3 linked regions of the Arabidopsis thaliana genome follow. The protein of the gene in region 3 interacts with the protein of the main gene of each other region in a pairwise test. Each region holds a gene or a part of one and is shown on either strand. Other genes may lie near its edges. The genes, in order: EMB2719, BRCA2(IV) and DSS1(I).

What was found.
Region 1: the proteins of DSS1(I) (region 3) and EMB2719 interact in a two-hybrid assay, tested with the Arabidopsis thaliana proteins (one study listed by BioGRID).
Region 2: the proteins of DSS1(I) (region 3) and BRCA2(IV) interact in a two-hybrid assay, tested with the Arabidopsis thaliana proteins (one study listed by BioGRID).

The regions. Positions count from the first base shown.
Region 1 is NC_003070.9:7,000,379-7,006,824, reverse strand, and holds EMB2719 (PAM domain (PCI/PINT associated module) protein), read left to right. Parts: upstream 1-2,392; 5' UTR 2,393-2,514; intron 2,515-2,649; 5' UTR 2,650-2,670; coding exon 2,671-2,749; intron 2,750-2,842; coding exon 2,843-3,033; intron 3,034-3,224; coding exon 3,225-3,365; intron 3,366-3,454; coding exon 3,455-3,591; intron 3,592-3,692; coding exon 3,693-3,747; intron 3,748-3,835; coding exon 3,836-3,946; intron 3,947-4,313; coding exon 4,314-4,553; intron 4,554-4,903; coding exon 4,904-5,416; 3' UTR 5,417-5,738; downstream 5,739-6,446. Other genes in the region: AT1G20220 (Alba DNA/RNA-binding protein), read left to right, coding at 60-140, 227-315, 446-520, 646-710, 798-872, 990-1,046, 1,154-1,210, 1,330-1,563 and 1 more. UniProt on the Arabidopsis thaliana protein: Acts as a regulatory subunit of the 26 proteasome which is involved in the ATP-dependent degradation of ubiquitinated proteins.
Region 2 is NC_003075.7:3,762-12,346, reverse strand, and holds the start of BRCA2(IV) (BREAST CANCER 2 like 2A), read left to right. Parts: upstream 1-1,982; coding exon 1,983-2,136; intron 2,137-2,221; coding exon 2,222-2,365; intron 2,366-2,499; coding exon 2,500-2,661; intron 2,662-2,909; coding exon 2,910-3,884; intron 3,885-3,978; coding exon 3,979-4,103; intron 4,104-4,191; coding exon 4,192-4,318; coding exon of another isoform or gene 4,319-4,346; intron 4,347-4,399; coding exon 4,400-4,433; intron 4,434-4,512; coding exon of another isoform or gene 4,513-4,533; coding exon 4,534-4,635; intron 4,636-4,708; coding exon 4,709-4,894; intron 4,895-4,971; coding exon 4,972-5,053; intron 5,054-5,152; coding exon 5,153-5,203; intron 5,204-5,290; coding exon 5,291-5,372; intron 5,373-5,475; coding exon 5,476-5,587; intron 5,588-5,670; coding exon 5,671-5,742; intron 5,743-6,491; coding exon 6,492-6,690; intron 6,691-6,758; coding exon 6,759-6,941; intron 6,942-7,227; coding exon 7,228-7,370; coding exon of another isoform or gene 7,371-7,374; exon of another isoform or gene 7,375-7,445; coding exon 7,446-7,508; intron 7,509-7,597; and 11 more. Other genes in the region: SD3 (import inner membrane translocase subunit), read left to right, coding at 1-85, 168-216, 331-450, 555-713. UniProt on the Arabidopsis thaliana protein: Involved in double-strand break repair and/or homologous recombination by mediating RAD51- and DMC1-facilitated DNA repair. Plays an essential role in both somatic and meiotic homologous recombination.
Region 3 is NC_003070.9:24,051,630-24,056,477, reverse strand, and holds DSS1(I) (deletion of SUV3 suppressor 1(I)), read left to right. Parts: upstream 1-2,569; 5' UTR 2,570-2,635; exon of another isoform or gene 2,636-2,725; 5' UTR 2,726-2,765; coding exon 2,766-2,859; intron 2,860-3,082; coding exon 3,083-3,205; intron 3,206-3,560; coding exon 3,561-3,691; 3' UTR 3,692-4,116; downstream 4,117-4,848. Other genes in the region: AT1G64760 (O-Glycosyl hydrolases family 17 protein), read left to right, coding at 284-618, 1,066-1,565, 1,648-2,258; TUA1 (alpha-1 tubulin), read right to left, coding at 4,182-4,497, 4,584-4,848. UniProt on the Arabidopsis thaliana protein: Subunit of the 26S proteasome which plays a role in ubiquitin-dependent proteolysis.

The sequences.
Region 1 (6,446 bases), about 17 Mb from region 3:
CTTTTGCTTCTTCTTGAAACTTTTGTTTTTGTAACGGAAGTTGTTTTGTTATCTTATAGGAAAACAAATCGAATGAAGTTATCTTCAAGGCTATGGGAAGAGCTATCAACAAGAGTGTGACCATAGTTGAGCTGATTAAGGTATTTTCTGGTTTTAGTCTGTTTCCTGATCTCAGAGTTGTAGTTCTTTTGTGTATCTGAAGATTATATTGTTATCCTTGATGCAGAGAAGGATTCCTGGTCTTCATCAGATCACATCTATTGGATCAACGGACATTACAGATACCTGGGAACCTACAGAGGAAGGCCTTCAAACGTATGTGGTCACTAGACTTTAGTATCAAGTTTATTGTTTTAAGTGTACCGGAACACATGTAACCATGTTGTATTCTTAATTTTGTTACTTTGACCTGTTATTTATTAAAACTCATCTTTTTCTCCTGAAGAATTGAGACCACGAGGCATGTGTCGATGATAACCATAACACTTTCCAAGGAGCAGTTGAACACATCCTCAGTTGGGTGAGTTTCTAGGACTGGTTGTTTTGCTATTTCTCGTCTATTCTCTTATTGGGGATTTTGTTGTTTTGTGTCTAGAGAGGTACATTGTCTCCAATGCTAATATATCTTATTAAATAATGCTATAGGTACCAGTGTCCGATTCCTATTGAGATGGTGAAGCCATTGGCTGAGATTGACTACGAAGGGCAAGGTATTTTAGAGTCTCACTCTTAATGACGTTTTTAAGCTCCCTGCCCTGCTGTCTTTTTTAAGTTTTTAAATTATCTCTTTCTTGTAGACGGATCTCCTAGAGGCAGAGGAGGAAGAAGAGGTAGAGGAGGAAGAGGAAGGGGAAGGGGAAGAGGTGGTAGAGGTAGGATTACTTTAGAAATTGTTTATACAGTGTCGTAGTTTCGTTGTAAGCTTTTGCATGTGATTTGTGGATAAGCGTTTGAGTGGACTGTGCTAATTCCTTTTTTCGACTTATCAGGAAATGGACCTGCGAATGTTGAGTATGATGATGGAGGAAGGGGAAGAGGTGGCAGAGGTAGGATATCTTTAGCCAAATCGTATTTGAGTATAGATTTTTGCATATGATTTGTGGATAAGGGTTTGAATGTGTTGTGCTATTTCTTTTTTTGTTTGATTTACCAGGAAACGGATATGTGAACAATGAGTATGATGATGGAGGAAGGGGAAGAGGCGGCAGAGGTAGAATTGCTTTAGAATATTTCTTTCCAAATCTTAGTTTTACCTTTTAACATATTTGCATGTGATCGGCGGACAAGTGTTTGATTGGCTTGTGCTATTTCTTCTTTCGGATTTGCCAGGAAGTGGATATGTGAACAATGAGTATAATGATGGAGGTATGGAGCAGGACCGGTCATATGGCAGAGGACGCGGGCGTGGGAGAGGAGGTGGACGTGGTGGTCGAGGAAGAGGAGGTTACAATGGCCCCCCACCACCTTACTATGAAGCTCAACAAGATGGAGGAGACTATGGATACAACAATGTTGCTCCTCCAGCAGACCATGGATATGATGGTCCTCCGCCTCAGGGACGTGGTACGTTGATGATTTTGTTACACTAATGTTTTCTCATTAAATAATGATGAGTTGTAAATGTTTAAAAATTGTTGGAACAGGACGTGGCCGTGGAAGGGGAGGTCGTGGAAGAGGAGGAGGCCGTGGTGGATTCAACAGATCAAATGGAGCACCTATCCAGGCTGCTGCATGAGCGACCAGGGTCATTGAATGAAGTTGGATCTTTCTTACATTCTCATGTTTTTGTCTCTGTTCTTCAAAGCAACTTGTTGCCGTAGAATAATCTTTCGTTCATGTCGCTTTAGGTTATATATATCCTCATTTATTTTATCATGGATCTTGGATTTTCAAGTTTTTATTCCTTCAAGAGTTTTCTAGTTTTGTCTCTTTTTTGAGTTTTGGATATTTGTTTGACTCCAATTACATTCGTCGGCGTATTGACACTAACAAGTAAACAACCCCCTTTGGCATTGCCTTTTTCCATTGGTTCGTATATCAGTTGATTATATATTCTAACAACATAAAAAGATAACAAGAAAAAATAATGAATAATAAAATTGTAATTCCAAGTTCCAACGTGTTTTGAGACAAAAAGAAATTAACCCAACTTGCGCTGGTTGTGTTTTGGGCTATTCGAAGAAAGCGTACGAAAATAAGTGAGAGAGGTCCAAACAAAACTAGTAACCAAAAAGTTAATCGCCGTTGCCGGGGATCGAACCCGGGCCACCCGCGTGACAGGCGGGAATACTTACCACTATACTACAACGACATTTGTTGCTCAATCGTAATGTAGAAGATATAAATACTAATATGGAAAAAAGCTGTCTTGAACAAAAAGAAATATACTTTTTTTGTTGTGTCCAAAAAAAGGAAAATACTTAGGAAAGAAAAGAGTCTCAGCAGCATCAGCTCGTCCTTAAATCTGATCCATCATCGTCACTTTCTCCCGGCGAATTCCGTTTTATCGATTTAGTAAGCTCTCTGTCTTTATCTCTCCGTCTTTCTCAGTCAACAAATTGGTTGAAACTTCAATCGGTTCCTTGAAATCTCACCGGCTTAGTTGCATACTTCTGCAAAAACCCTAACCTTGTTTTTGTCTTTGTGAAGAGTAACGAGATTTGTGCAAAGATGACTCAGGACGTGGAGATGAAAGATAACAACACCCCTTCTCAATCGATTATCTCTTCTTCTACCTCTACTATGCAGAGTAAATCTCGATCTGAATGCTTTAATTCTCGAACTGTTTTCATAATTGCTAAGTTTCTTCTGGGTTTTGACGCTTTGTTTCTTTGTTTCCCAGATTTGAAGGAGATTGCAGCACTCATCGATACTGGGTCTTACACGAAGGAGGTTCGTCGTATTGCTCGTGCTGTGCGTCTCACTATAGGGCTTAGGCAGAAACTCACCGGCTCTGTGCTCTCTTCCTTCCTGGATTTTGCTTTGGTTCCAGGATCCGAAGCTCACTCTCGCCTCTCTTCCTTTGTTCCTAAGGTATTTGTGGGTTTTACTTCTTCACTTTGATGTTTCAGAATTCTCAACTTGGTTGTTCCTTTTAGCATCTGGCTTTAGGTTGTTTAGATTCGTGTTATGGTTGTTATACTTTCTTTTGATGTTGTGAATGGCAAGTTATCTAACATACAACTGGCTTAGAGACTGAAATATTGGAACTTTTAATGGTTTAGGGTGATGAACATGACATGGAAGTTGATACTGCCTCATCGGCCACACAAGCTGCTCCTTCTAAGCATCTACCTGCAGAGCTCGAGATCTACTGCTACTTCATTGTTCTTCTTTTTCTGATTGATCAGAAGAAGTACAACGAGGTAACTACTGCTGTATCTTTGTGTTTTGTCATAAGTTACTTTTCTGTTGTGATTTTAATTTTAATGAGTTGCTTTTAATCATCTCTTAGGCTAAAGCTTGTTCTTCAGCAAGCATTGCTCGTCTCAAGAACGTCAACCGAAGGACCATTGATGTGATAGCATCAAGACTCTACTTTTACTATTCTTTGAGTTATGAGCAAACCGGTGATCTTGCTGAAATTCGCGGGTTAGTAGCTCAAAGACTGTTTTAGTTTTGTACTTTGTCTTACACCTCATATTAATCAGTAGCTCAATAGTTAATAATCTGGTCATTTTTTCTACCTGCAGTACTCTTCTTGCGTTGCATCATTCTGCAACGCTAAGACACGATGAGCTGGGTCAGGTATGTCTTTGTTTAGCTCATTCAGTCGGCATTCATTATTTTGAAACTGTTACTTGCTTCTTATTCAAATTTATCATGTTGAATGCAGGAAACCCTTCTGAACCTGTTGCTACGTAACTATTTGCATTACAACCTCTATGATCAGGCAGAGAAGCTAAGATCAAAGGCACCTCGCTTTGAGGCTCATTCAAACCAACAGGTAGCTCTTGGCTATTCCTTCATACTCTAAGTTTTCTCGGTTCTCTAGATTCTATATTTGCATGAAAACTCCAATGCCACTTCTGCAATCTTTCCAGAGAATTATTTTTTCTATTCGCTATAGCATTTTCCATCTAGGAGGCTCTTGTGTTTTCTTTTCAATCACTAATTATTTGCCGAACTTACTTGAAGTGTCCATTTTGCCTGTCCTTTTCATACTTCTGACACCACCTCTTACCATTACCATCGATCTACCTTGTGTTTTTCTTTGCTACATATGAATTTTGTTCTTTTTTTAACCCTTCAATTGTTACTGTTTCAAAAGAATAAACAGCAAGATGACTTGTCTAAAACATTATACTTTGCAGTTTTGTAGGTACCTTTTCTATCTCGGGAAGATTCGTACTATTCAGCTCGAATATACGGACGCAAAAGAGAGCCTTCTTCAGGCGGCCAGGAAAGCCCCTATAGCAGCTTTGGGCTTCAGGATCCAATGCAATAAATGGGCAATTCTGGTTCGTCTACTGCTGGGTGAGATACCAGAGCGTTCTATCTTCACTCAAAAGGGTATGGAGAAGGCCCTCAGACCCTACTTCGAGCTAACAAATGTGAGTCCACTTTCATAATCTTGCTGCTGTGACATGTATTCATTAATTTATGAGCGGATAACTAAACTGGTATTAGTATGTGGTCACTTGTGATCTTGCTACTTCACTTCTGATTTTAAACCGGTTCCTACTTTTCACTTACTGGCCTATACACCTCTTCTGTTAAAATCTCTCTGTGGTCACTTGAAACACAATTTTGTTGCTGCTGTTGTTTTCTGCTCCTTCGAATTATATTGAACATGAATTTCTGGCTGTTTACTGTTGCTTTTTAGAGATATATGATGCAACTGGATAGTTGATACTGATTTTGATCTGAGGCTTACTATTAAAGCTCTGTTTTGATTTTACAGGCGGTTAGGATTGGGGACTTGGAGTTGTTTAGGACAGTCCAGGAGAAGTTCTTGGACACATTTGCTCAAGACAGAACGCACAATCTCATCGTGCGACTCCGCCACAATGTCATCAGGACTGGACTGCGGAACATAAGTATCTCCTACTCAAGAATCTCTTTACCCGATGTTGCCAAAAAGCTGAGGCTCAACTCTGAAAACCCTGTGGCTGATGCGGAAAGCATCGTGGCAAAGGCCATACGCGACGGAGCTATTGATGCTACAATCGATCACAAAAACGGATGCATGGTCTCCAAAGAAACTGGGGACATCTACTCGACGAATGAGCCACAAACTGCGTTCAACTCAAGAATTGCTTTCTGCCTCAACATGCATAACGAAGCTGTCAGAGCATTGAGGTTTCCTCCTAACACTCACAAGGAGAAAGAAAGCGATGAGAAGAGGAGAGAGAGGAAGCAACAGGAAGAAGAGCTTGCTAAGCATATGGCTGAGGAAGACGATGATGATTTTTAGACAAAGGTCATCTATTTCTTATAAGAGTTGACTCTCCATCTGTCTCACTTTTTTTATGTTCACAAGTTTACTTGGTACTCTTCTCATCGTCTCTAAGTGTTTCTTTATTGAGGATTTTTATCCTCAGGAACCTTTTTATTACTCTGGTTTCACTTTAGGAAAAGATATTTATCTTGTTGGTTTCAGAAGATCAAATTCAACTTCGTTTAATTGTGTTTGGGAGATTTTCGCATTTTAAGAATTGAACACTTGTAGTTATAGCTAGCTGTATTAGGTGGGTCATTATTAGAAATTGACCATGTGAAATGCTATCATCTCCAGGCGATGCATACCATTAAAATCCACATTCATAATTTACATTAAATGATAGATAAGCAGTCATAAATATCTAAAGAATGAAAACAGGACATGTGTATTGACCATTATGTGTATTGATACATTAGTCTATCTCTGCCAAACTAGGTCTCATTTTCTTGAATAAAACAATCTCATGTTATGCTTTTAATTATAGGTGTTTCTGGTTCGATTCATTAACTTCTTAATAATGACAAAAATCTGTAGAATAATACCCGGGCTCTTTGATAGCTACAACTGCCAACTATTTAATCCATACAATCAAAATGTAATTTTCATAATTGTAGATTTGTAATGGGTCAATATATTCTTACACTCTAATCATATCCAAACAAGCTCCTCAATTCCTTAATCTTGTTGTATCCAGTATCCATATTTTGTTTTCTTACTGCGGAAGTTACTTGGTAGTGTAGTCTGGATTTCGGATTGCAGACTTTGCAGTCCACGATTTTTCATATGTTGGTGACAACGAACAAGTGTTAAGTTGACGGAAGTGTTCGTAACAAACGACGTCGTGACGGTGATCTTCATCAACTTTGATTGGAAATCAAGTTTTGAGGGACAATTAACCCAAAAAAATAATCATAATGATAATGAAAGAGATTTGGCGTGTTGCTAATAATGTAGGACAAGTGAGCATGTGAGAGTCTGTGACCGATGAACCTGCTCAGACCAA
Region 2 (8,585 bases), on a different chromosome or scaffold from region 3:
ACAGTCTTGTTATTCTGGCTGGGCTTGGTGTCGCTGGAGCTGCTGGCTACGGTGTGTTTAAAGAGCTCATTTTTCAACCAAAAGAGTGAGGCTTCAGAAATCTAATTTGATTTATCTGCTCAGACACTTGGATTTGAGTAATCTAAAGACACCATTATGTATTCTAGGTACAAGGTCTTTGACAAAGCCTTGAAGAGAATTCAAGATGATGGTCAGGTAATTAGAAACTAACTCTACAGATTGATCATAGCGGAGGGGTGGTGTATGAAACAAAAGCATCTGTTTATAAAATGAAACAATTTCTGTGACTGTGATTGTCTTGTTAACTAGGTGAGGGTTAGGATTGGATCCCCCATCAAAGGCTATGGACAAGAAACTAGAAACCGAGCTGCTCGTCAACGTATACCCAACAGAGTATTTACAGATGAAGACGGAGTGGAGCATGTTGAGGTATTTCATTGTAGAACCTCTATTGCGCTTGGATTCACATTCTTGCTATATAAATTGTCTAGAGTTTTGCAGGTTTAACATGATCAAAATTGAATATGCTTCAGGTAAACTTCTACATCCGTGGGCCTCAAGGAGCAGGGAAAGTGTACACGGAGATGTTTAAAGACAAGGCAGAGAAGGAATGGAAATACACGTACCTGATCGTAGAGATTTTAACACCTTCCCCAGCCAAATTGATGCTGGAGTCTTATTTGCCTGCCTAAAGCACTCGTATTTATGACTCAGCAGATCCGGAAAACATTCAGAAACGGCTTAGATTGTTTTAGTTGGGGTGTTGGAGAAAAGAGAGAGAATTGTGTTACACATGAGCTGTAGGAATGACTTCTTATCAAGCAACTGTTTGCTAATTGAAAAACAAGTCTAAACTGTGTTTATGATCCTCTTGGGGATGTCTAGGATTTTGAACCGAATTCAAGTTTGAGGCTTGATAATATTTTTATGCGTAAACATGAAACAGAGACATGGAGAATGCATATATCATGAAGCATCAAGTATACAATAGAGGCAATCATGGATCAAACGGTGTTTATGGTATCAGTAAGACAGCGGAGAATGCAACCGGGACCAACTCTCTCTCTGAGTTTCCCCGAGCCATCAAGGCTACAAACATCTCGACTACAAGGGCCAATCAAATTACATAATCACGGAAAAAACAAGGATAGATACAAGCAAACCTAACACTCGAGCAATAATTTGAGTAATAGAAACAAGAAACCAGAAATCGAAACGAAACGGAACGAAACACAAGATTTCCTAATTAATCTTGTGTTTAATTAAGAAAAGAAAACACAAAAAAGTTGAAAGGTTTAGTGGTGCATCCACGTAGCAAGACATTTTAGGTGTACGTCGACCATATTGTTGGCCGTTTATAGAGCATCATCCACTCTCCTCGACGAGCAAGATCATGCCGCCTCTGGATTCTTCTCATTCATCGGTGTTCCTGCGATCCCCTCCGTAGCACCCTCCGCCTCCTCAGCGCCTTCCCCGTGTAAATTACCGTTCTGCATGTTTAGAAATTTGACGTGGAAATTGTTGCAATGTAACTTTCTGTGATACTTGGCTATTGTTGCAATGTAATTTTCATTGAAGTCAGTCACCAATGACCATTGAACAGATGTTTTAAAATGTCCACGTAAGCAATTGTTGTTTGGAACGATTTTCGGTTAGCATTCGTGCCTTTTTTACCTCAATAAAAGGCCGTGGCATTAACTCACTTGTCTTGAGACGTTATGTCGTTAAAACCAAGCCCAAAGTTAATTTCGGCCCAAATCGTTTTCAACTTTCCCGCCGTCTTTTAACTTTTTAGATTTTTGGTGATGGTTTTGGGGGGAAAGAAAACAGAAAATATAAAAATAAAATTTCCGCACTCCCGACTCTTGGTGTGGTAGGCAATTCTGAATCGCGAGGTTTAGTTCTCCGGCTGAATCAGAGAACGACGAGTCGGAAAAATTCGAAACTCTAGAACTGAATAAATGTCGACGTGGCAATTATTTCCCGATTCCAGCGGCGATGGTTTCCGGTGGGAAGTCGCTGGCCGGATTCTTCAGTCCGTCTCGGATTCTACGCCAACCAAGGCGCTCGAATCGACAGCTCCTCTACCTTCTATGGCCGATCTCTTGCTCCAAGGTGATTCTTCGTTTCTTCCTTTTTTTGTCGAATCGTGTTTGTCATGTGACTCAAAGGAGATTGAATTATTATTTGATGCTTCAAGGATGCTCGAAGCTTATAGCACGGGAAGAAGCGATGCCTGGGGAAATCCCAATGTTCAGGACTGGGCTAGGGAAGTCTGTAGTTCTTAAAGAGTCTTCGATTGCTAAAGCCAAATCCATTTTAGCAGAGAAGGTTACTTACTCAGGTACTTTATGTGACAGTATTGAATTCCCTTGACTAGTCATTTGTTTCTGAATTCCCTTGAATTGTTACTTAATGTTGGTGAAAATGGTTTCCTGAAAATCTTTTGAATGTTCCATGTTCTTGGCTACACTTTAGATTTGCGGAACACAAATTGCTCAATTCCCCAAATGAGACAAGTGGATACAGCTGAAACTTTGCCAATGTTCAGGACGGCCTCGGGGAAATCTGTCCCTTTGAAAGAGTCTTCAATTGCCAAAGCTATGTCTATTCTAGGAAGTGATAAGATTATTGACTCAGGTGTGTTCTTATCTCCTCTTTTTTAAAGTCTTATTTCCAGTATAGCTGTGTGCGCGTTTACATATGAACTTGTTCTTTGTGCTGCTACTCCGTTCAACTTCCAGGTTCTTGAGTTTGGTTGTTATCAGATGAAATGATGAATAGTGAAGAACTAATCAACACACATCTTACTTCGTTTAGAGGATGAATATTAGAAGTGACATTTTTTCATAGTTTATTTGTTAATAAGATTCTTTTTGATTGTGTAGACAACGTTCTTCCCAGGGAGAGTGGATTTGGAGTTTCCAACAGTCTTTTTCAGACAGCTTCCAACAAAAAGGTTAATGTATCTTCTGCCGGTTTAGCAAGGGCCAAGGCATTGTTAGGACTAGAAGAAGATGATTTGAATGGATTTAACCATGTGAACCAGTCGTCTTCTTCCTCCCAGCAACATGGGTGGTCCGGATTAAAAACTCATGAGGAGTTTGATGCTACAGTAGTTAAGCATCATTCAGGAACTCCAGGACAATATGAGGATTATGTATCTGGGAAGAGATCTGAAGTCTTAAATCCATCTTTAAAGGTGCCTCCAACAAAGTTTCAGACTGCTGGTGGAAAATCATTGTCAGTGTCAGCTGAGGCGTTAAAACGTGCCAGAAACCTTCTTGGTGACCCTGAATTAGGGTCTTTCTTTGATGATGTAGCTGGAGGTGATCAATTTTTTACACCAGAGAAAGATGAAAGGTTAAGTGATATTGCTATAAACAATGGAAGTGCCAACAGAGGTTATATTGCTCATGAAGAAAAGACAAGCAACAAACATACGCCAAATAGTTTTGTATCTCCTCTTTGGTCATCTTCAAAGCAATTTAGTTCAGTCAACTTGGAGAACCTAGCTTCAGGGGGTAATTTGATCAAGAAATTTGATGCGGCTGTTGATGAGACCGATTGTGCTCTGAATGCTACACATGGACTATCAAATAACAGGTCTTTGGCATCAGATATGGCAGTGAATAATTCCAAGGTAAACGGTTTCATTCCAAGAGGTAGGCAACCTGGAAGGCCTGCTGATCAGCCACTTGTTGATATAACAAATCGCAGAGATACAGCTTATGCATACAATAAACAAGACAGTACCCAAAAGAAAAGGCTGGGAAAGACAGTCTCCGTTTCTCCTTTCAAAAGGCCAAGGATTTCATCCTTTAAAACTCCTTCAAAGAAACATGCTCTGCAAGCTTCAAGTGGTAATATATATGATTAATTTTTTTAAGAATTTTTTATGTTAATCTAATTGGTTGGTTCTCAGGTTTATAGTTTTGGTGTCCTGTCTATTATCAGGTTTGTCTGTTGTATCGTGTGATACACTTACTTCCAAAAAGGTGCTTTCTACAAGGTATCCAGAAAAGTCTCCAAGAGTATATATCAAGGACTTTTTTGGAATGCATCCAACAGCTACGACCAGGGTAAATTCTTTTTGTCCCTTTCAACTGTTCCTGCGTTACATAGCTTTTTTCTTCATTCACTCAAACACACTTACGAGGTGGTTTTTAGATGGATTATGTGCCAGACCATGTCAGAAGAATCAAATCAAGTAATGCAGATAAATATGTATTCTGTGATGAGTCTTCTTCAAACAAGGTTGGAGCTGAAACTTTTCTTCAAATGTTGGCTGAGTCTGGTGCTTCCTTACAACATGCATCCAGAAAGTACTTTCTCTGTCCCTTGAAATGTTAACCGTGTTATTTGTTTATTATATCAGAAAAAGTGTGTGACCGTTCTTTTGAAGCTTGCATGTGATTGTCACTCTATTAGATAGACAGTGAGTATTGATGTCTATATCTATTAACTTATCCATCACTACGTATGCACTAGGTGGGTCACTAATCACTATAGGTGGATAGTCTGGAAACTTGCATGCTACGACATATACTACCCAGCCAAATGCAGAGGAAACTTTCTGACAATCACCAATGTTCTTGAGGAACTAAAATACAGGTTTCCCAGTCTCACAACACAACTCGTTACTTAAACTCATGCAAAGTCTAACATGGTTAATCTTTCTTAATAGATATGAGAGAGAGGTCAATCATGGTCATTGCTCTGCAATCAAGAGGATTCTGAGTGGTGATGCTCCAGCTTCTTCAATGATGGTGCTCTGCATATCAGCTATTAATCCAAAGACCGATAATGATTCTCAGGAAGCACATTGTTCTGATAGTTGCAGCAATGTGAAAGTAGAACTCACTGATGGGTGGTATGAAATTGCTACTGCTATTCTGTTACCTGTTTTCTTGACTCATTTCCATATGATTTTTTTTAAAAAAATCACAGGTACTCGATGAATGCTGCTCTGGATGTCGTACTAACAAAGCAGCTGAATGCTGGCAAATTGTTTGTCGGGCAGAAGCTTCGAGTAAGTTATTTTCATGCAAGATATACTTTGTTTTGCAACACAGATTTTGGTTAGATCACTGACTTGCAGCATGCTTACGTTCTTATCTCTTATCTGAAGATCCTCGGGGCAGGACTTTCTGGCTGGGCTACCCCAACATCACCACTTGAGGTTTCCTAGACTTTGCATTTTATAAGATTTTCTGATATCTTCTCAGGTTGGTTTGTTCATAAGAGTTTCATTCAACCAAACTTTCAGGCAGTGATTTCAAGTACAATCTGTTTGTTGTTGAATATTAATGGGACATACAGAGCTCACTGGGCGGACCGACTAGGCTTCTGTAAGTAGCTTTATGCTGTGGGCCTCACTACATCATCTGAGTTCTTATTGCTTTCATATTGTTATCTTTCCATTGATCGTTTATAATCTCTTCCTTCCTCAAGGTAAAGAAATTGGTGTCCCTCTGGCTTTAAATTGTATCAAGTGCAATGGGGGTCCAGTGCCTAAAACGCTAGCTGGCATCAAACGAATATACCCCATCCTATACAAGGAAAGGTCAATATAAATGTGTGCCTGTTAATGCATTTTGGTCTTCTTTATACTTCTCGCAAAGCATTATATTTTCTTGATGTATACAGGTTAGGTGAAAAGAAGTCAATAGTTCGATCAGAGAGAATAGAAAGTAGAATTATACAGCTGCATAATCAGAGGCAAGTTTCCTTATAACTGTAGAGAGCAATTTTTAGTAACATTGATGTGATCAATTTAGCACATGCATCTCTTTCTAAGAAGTGTCAGATTAACTCATCAAAGCTAGAGACATTTTGTTACATACAACAATTTGGTGGCGTCACCAAGTTGCAGCCTTGAACCATTTGCTCTTTTCATTTTAAATCCTAACATGTTATAGAGCATATAATTATAATTATCATGCGCAAATCGGCATGTATCAATTTAGTTATATTTATCATGTGCAATTGTGCATGTATCAGTTTACATACATTATATTATCATGCAGATTATGGGAATCTTAGCGGTTCAAACGTCTTAAAGTACTGCATAACTACATATAGTTTGACTATACATAACTACTTATTTATGGCTATGATCGTAAATTTTAGTATAAATGCAATATTCACTGTTAGAATACGATATTCAAATTCGTTTTCAGAATTCAGAGAACAAAAAGTAGATAAAGTGACCTTGGTTTATGTTGTTTTGGTCAAATTTATCGTTTATAAGTTTGCTAGCTAATGTTATACTATTTGCTAACATATAATTAAATGTTGAGTGCTAATCTCGAATTTTTTATTAGAAAAGACAATCTTTGTATTTATTAGAAAAGCTTCTGGCCTTCTGATTATGGATGGTTTTCCCAACAAAAGAGCCAAAGATTGCAGTTCGTCATGGTTTATTCTCATTCATACTTGCCTTTTTTTTTTCTTTCTATTTTCCGTAGGCGCTCAGCTCTTGTTGAGGGTATTATGTGTGAGTACCAGAGAGGAATTAATGGTGTTCACAGCCAGAACGACACTGACAGCGAAGAAGGAGCCAAGATCTTTAAGCTGTTAGAGACGGCTGCTGAACCTGAATTTCTTATGGCAGAAATGAGCCCAGAGCAGTTGAGATCTTTCACTACATATAAAGCAAAATTTGAGGTAGAATAGTAATTTCCTTTTCTTGATATATTGATTACAGTAATTAACTGCTTCAATCTGAACCTCAGGCAGCCCAGCAAATGCGGAAGGAAAAATCAGTGGCAGAAACTCTGGAAGACGCTGGTTTAGGTGAAAGGAACGTCACCCCGTTCATGAGGATTAGGCTTGTTGGCCTGACGAGCTTAAGTTATGAAGGAGAGCACAATCCAAAAGAAGGCATTGTAACAATCTGGGATCCCACGGAGAGACAGGTACATTCAAATGCCTAAATCTGAATGTTTCATGCACAATTTAAAACAAGGCATTTTTCTAATGGCTAATAAGTTTACACGGACCTTATCCATATGAGCTTATATGGAACGGGGAGTTCCAAATATAAGCTTTTCAGAGTTGCTGTGGACCTCGAATGGACTGAAATGCATATCAAAGAATCGTTACCATCACTGTACTGTTGCATTAAGAGCATCATCGATTAGCTTGTTCAACTTTTTTCTTGTAGATTCTTAAAACAGTTATCATTGTCTACTACTGTGACAGAGAACCGAGCTGACAGAGGGGAAAATATACATGATGAAAGGGCTAGTACCAATAAACTCAGATTCAGAAATACTTTACTTACATGCGAGAGGGTCAAGCTCAAGATGGCAGCCTTTGTCTCCTAAAGATTCTGAAAATTTTCAGTAAGTGGTTTTCTTTAGTAGACACACTGGAATCTATCTCATTAATTTGTTCAATTTCCCTGATGATGTTTTCAGGCCCTTTTTCAACCCTCGTAAACCAATCTCTTTGTCAAATCTTGGTGAAATTCCTCTTTCAAGGTTAATCTCAGTAGTCCAAGCTTTTTATGAAACACTCTTTACCGCACTTTGCTAATCTATACCCTGTCATCTCTAATTATGTCCTTCAGTGAATTTGATATCGCTGCGTACGTTGTATATGTTGGAAATGCATACACGGATGTTCTACAAAAGAAGCAGTGGGTGTTTGTGACAGATGGATCCGCACAACATTCAGGGGAAATCTCAAACAGTCTTCTTGCTATAAGCTTCAGCACCTCATTCATGGATGATAGCTCTGTTTCCCACATCAGCCATAATTTGGTTGGATCCGTGGTATGTACAAATTCTAATCTTTGTCTAGTTTTACACAGAGAGAATATGCACCAAGAGATTAAATTTTGAAAAATATATGCTTGTTATGGGTCTTAATTTTTGGCAGGTCGGATTTTGCAATCTAATTAAAAGAGCAAAGGATGTGACAAACGAAATTTGGGTTGCTGAGGCAGCAGAGAACTCAGTCTACTTCATAAACGCAGAAGCTGCCTACTCTTCTCACCTCAAAACCAGCAGTGCCCATATCCAAACATGGGCTAAGCTCTCTTCTTCCAAATCCGTTCGTTCTCGTCGACTTCCTCTTTCTATAATTATTCGGTTCAAAAAGATTGGTCTTTTGTATTAAGCCTTCTTGGTTTGCTCAATTTTCAGGTCATTCATGAACTTCGGCAAAGAGTCTTATCTATAATCGGTGCTTGTAAATCACCTTCATGCTGAAGATAAATCATACCCCACCTCTTCTCTTAAGTTTTGTTTATAAGTTATCTAACCCTCTGCTGATTGTATCTATTAAAGCCCATTTTGCTACATCAATTTCTGAAATTTGAAATGTATGATCTACTCTCATTGATCAAGTAACTTTGAATTATTTTGTGTTGTAAACATATCTAAAGGTTTGATGAAGTTGCATTAAGAAATAACATTTATGCTATATATGATGCTACAACTTATCAGGGGAAACAATGGTTATGTAGTTTTTGTCTACTCGTTAGATATAATTATGTTTAGAATTCGAAGATGAATGTTATCAAAGAAAAAAGGATTTGACATTGTCAAGTCTAC
Region 3 (4,848 bases):
GTACTATCATTCATTTAGCAACGAAACTCACCGAAAATATCTCCAACTTTTATCTCTCTTTTAGTTTCCCCAAAACCAAAAAGTTTACCTTTTTAGGTTTCTCTACAGTCTCCACGCGTTTCTTCTTCTCTCTCTGTACGCGTTTTATCAGTCTCCATATCTAAGGAGAGGTAATGGGTCCTCTAAAAGTTTCTCATTTCCCAAATGTTAGATTTATGAAACTGTTAATTTTACAATTTTGGGTTAAAATCTCACCTTTTCGATCTTTCTCAGGTGAAAATCGATGTCGAATCTGTTGGCTCTCGTCGTCGGATTCGTAATCGTAATTGGTCATTTGGGTATTTTGGTAAATGGGTTGGGTGTGAATTGGGGAACAATGGCTACACATAAGCTACCTCCAAAGACAGTGGTTCAGATGCTTAAAGACAATAACATCAACAAAGTTAAGCTTTTTGATGCGGACGAGACAACCATGGGTGCACTCGCTGGATCGGGTCTTGAAGTGATGGTCGCTATTCCCAATGATCAGCTTAAGGTTATGACTAGTTACGACCGAGCCAAAGATTGGGTTCGTAAGAATGTCACTCGTTATAACTTCGATGGTGGTGTCAATATCACGTGAGTTTGTCTCTCTTCCTCTCTGTTCTGTCTCAATGTTATTGTTATTGATTGGTTGTAGTGTTTGTCTAAACGTCAAAATTAACATTCTTTGTGTTTGTTTGTCGAAACCTCATAAACCCATGGTTGTTTAGTTTATGACATTGCCAAATGCATAACCATGAGTGAGTTATGTCTATAGACAAAATGTGTCTAGCTATATATGTTTGTTTCTGAAGATTGGATGTTTAGGGTTGATTTTCAATGTCTGGTGAAATCTGTGTTGTCTGATTATGAAATCAAATATCTTTTAACACTACTGTCAAATGCAGAACCTGTTTCCACTAAAATGTATTTATATCTATAAAAGTCAAATCTTTTAACAGTACTGTCAAAATGCAGAACATGTTTAGAGAAAAATGTGTTTACATGTCTCAGTGAAGCTAATCACTTGTGGATGTGTTTCAGGTTTGTAGCTGTTGGGAATGAGCCATTCCTCAAATCATACAATGGATCGTTCATAAACCTCACATTCCCTGCACTTGCGAACATTCAAAACGCTTTAAATGAAGCCGGACTAGGAAACTCTGTCAAAGCAACAGTCCCTTTAAACGCGGATGTATACGATTCACCAGCAAGCAATCCCGTTCCATCTGCAGGAAGATTCCGTCCCGATATCATCGGTCAAATGACTCAGATTGTTGACTTTCTTGGCAAGAACAATGCTCCCATCACAATTAACATCTACCCTTTCTTAAGTCTCTATGGGAATGATGATTTCCCACTCAACTACGCCTTCTTCGATGGTGCTGAACCGATAAACGACAACGGTATTGATTATACAAACGTTTTCGATGCCAATTTCGATACTTTGGTGTCGTCTTTGAAAGCTGTTGGTCACGGAGATATGCCAATAATCGTTGGAGAAGTTGGTTGGCCAACAGAGGGTGACAAACACGCTAATGCAGGTTGATATCTGACCTTCTTTAGATGGATTTTTATCCTTTATGAAGTGTTTTAGTTTTGATTTTGAAAACGGTTTTTTCACAGGCAGTGCTTACAGATTCTACAACGGGCTTTTACCGAGGCTTGGAACAAACAAAGGAACTCCATTGAGACCAACCTACATTGAGGTATACTTGTTCGGATTACTCGACGAGGATGCAAAAAGTATAGCACCGGGACCGTTCGAACGCCATTGGGGAATATTTAAATTCGACGGGCAACCAAAGTTTCCTATAGATCTTTCAGGTCAAGGACAGAGTAAGTTCTTGATTGGTGCACAAAACGTGCCGTATCTACCCAACAAGTGGTGTACGTTTAATCCAGAAGCCAAGGACTTGACAAAACTCGCGGCTAATATAGATTACGCCTGCACTTTCTCTGATTGCACGGCGCTTGGATACGGATCTTCTTGCAATACTCTTGATGCAAATGGAAACGCGTCGTATGCGTTTAACATGTTCTTTCAAGTGAAGAATCAAGATGAGAGTGCTTGCTATTTTCAAGGTTTGGCCACCATTACAACGCAGAATATATCTCAAGGACAATGCAATTTCCCTATTCAGATTGTGGCTTCCTCAGCCTCTTCTTTTTCTTGTTCGTCTTATTCTTTGGTTGTGTTGATCGTTTGGTTTCTGTTATCAGGGATGATGTTTTGAGGTTAGATTGAATTTGTTGAACTTAGTGAGGTTTTGTGAGCCTAATTGTTTTCTTACAGATATATATATTACAATGATTCTTTTGTCCATGTTCTTAGAAGTTGAATCCTAGATAAATCGGAATATCCAGATACTTGTTCTATCGATATTTTAATACAGTTTTACACTACAGTTTTATTTTACAAATTCATTAATGTTACAATTTCTTTTAGCAATTAAAAAATAAATAGAAAACCATCAAATTTTACAAATTCACAAAAAGGAAAACACGGTCGAACCGGTTCTATACAAAAAGAAAAAACCTTCCCTTTATTATTTGCTTCTTCTCTTAAGAAAAACAAAAGTTCGCTTACTCTCTCGTTAAAGCTCTCAGAGAGGTTAGGGTTTCATCATTATCAATTCCATGCTTTTGCAATAATAACTTGGAAAATTTTATCGAGTTTTCGTCTTCCTCTTCTTCTTCTTAGGTTATCTCGATCTGGTTGGTTCCTTTAACAATCTGTAACTATGGCGGCAGAACCGAAGGCAGCGACTGCTGAAGTAGTAAAGATGGATCTGTTTGAGGACGACGATGAGTTCGAGGAATTTGAAATTAACGAAGGTAAAATTTTTGTTGTTATTACTTGTTTCTTCTTCGATTTTTGAATCGATTCATCATCGGTTTTATAGTCTTAACGATGAAGCTACGATGCCATAGATATAAGAGCGATTTTCATTAGCAACTGATTGATAGATACAGGCAATGCTTTATATGGTTGAATTGAGAATTATTTGTATGAATTGTATCAGATTCTGATTTTAATAGATTTTGATTTGCAAGTTAGTTGATTCTTCAGATTTAACTAGTAGTTGTATTGAAAGGATTGATAAAGATGGACTAGTGTATGAGTTGAGTAGGTCTGATATGAAAACGAATCTGTTTGATGTCAATTTCAGGTGTGAGATAGGTTGATAGATCTTTTTTCATATAGTTCTAACAATGAAGCTATAGTCTCATACTTACTAAATGGATAAAAGAGCAGTTTTTTTCAGCAACTTATTGATGATTAGGTTTAGTCTTAATAGTCAACGCTTCATTTACTAAAGCCTAAAGGTTATTGAGGATTTGGGAATTATTTGAGGGCATTGAGTAGCCTAAAGGTTTAACAGATTTTGCTTTGTGATTTTACTAATAGTTTTATTGAAAGAATTGATAAAGAGGGTTTCTGTTTGTATGAGTTGTGTAGTTGGATGTGGAATGGATGTTTTTGCTGTCCTTTTACGGTCAAAGTAAATACTGATGGATCTTTTTATGTTGGGCAGATTGGTTGGAGAAAGAAGAAGTGAAGGAAGTTAGCCAGCAGTGGGAAGATGACTGGGATGATGATGATGTCAATGACGACTTCTCACGTCAGTTAAGGAAGGAGCTTGAGAATGGTACTGACAAGAAATAAGGTCGAAGATTGTGAAAGACAGGTCTTCACATTTAGGAAATCTTGGTTTTCTTTTATGATCTGGAACTTTGTTTGTACTGCATCCTTTGGTTTATGTTATCGGTTCTGCTTTTCCTTTGCACATTTTACTATTCCCTGGATGGAAATTTCTTATCTTTGAAGATGATAAATTTAAACTGGTAAGATCATCATCTTCTCTCAACATCCATTGCGGTGTGTTCCGTATGGACATGGATTAGTTACTAACTTACTATGTACATTTTCTTACAAGGATCTTTATTAGAGCGTAAACGGTATTTGAAATGCCAAAAATCCTTCAAACTATGTATTGAGATGCACTAGAAATGCAATCCTTTAGTAAACACAAATGAGAAATAAAAGGGGAGAGACCCGTAAACATCACAAAATAACTGTAGAGATCACATTCACAAAGACATAATTACTGTACTTCACAAGAAAGAAACAAGGGAACACACACTCTTGTGTCTTTCTAATACTCATCGCCTTCTTCGTCGTCGTCCTCCGCTCCTTCTCCACCAACTTCCTCATAATCTTTCTCGAGGGCAGCAAGATCCTCACGAGCCTCAGAGAACTCTCCTTCTTCCATACCCTCTCCTACATACCAATGGACAAAGGCTCTTTTGGAGTACATGAGATCAAACTTATGGTCTATACGTGAGAACACTTCAGCAACTGCAGTATTATTGCTGATCATGCAAACCGCTCGTTGAACCTTAGCCAGGTCACCACCTGGAACAACGGAAGGCGGCTGGTAGTTTATCCCGCACTTGAATCCAGTTGGGCACCTAATTTTAACATGACCAAAGATTTGAAATGTGTAGTAGAAGGAGACTTAAGAGAGAAAGAAACACTAGTAGTGTGAGCTCTTTACCAGTCAACAAACTGAATTGTTCGTTTGGCTTTGATGGCAGCAACGGCTGTATTGACATCCTTGGGCACAACGTCACCACGATACATCAAACAGCAAGCCATGTACTTGCCATGCCTAGGGTCACATTTAGCCATCATATTGGAGGGTTCAAAGACGGAAGTCGTGATCTCAGGGACCGAAAACTGCTCATGGTAGGCCTTTGCAGATGAAATCACAGGTGCATAAGAGGAGAGCATGAAGTGGATCCGAGGGTAAGGTACAAGGT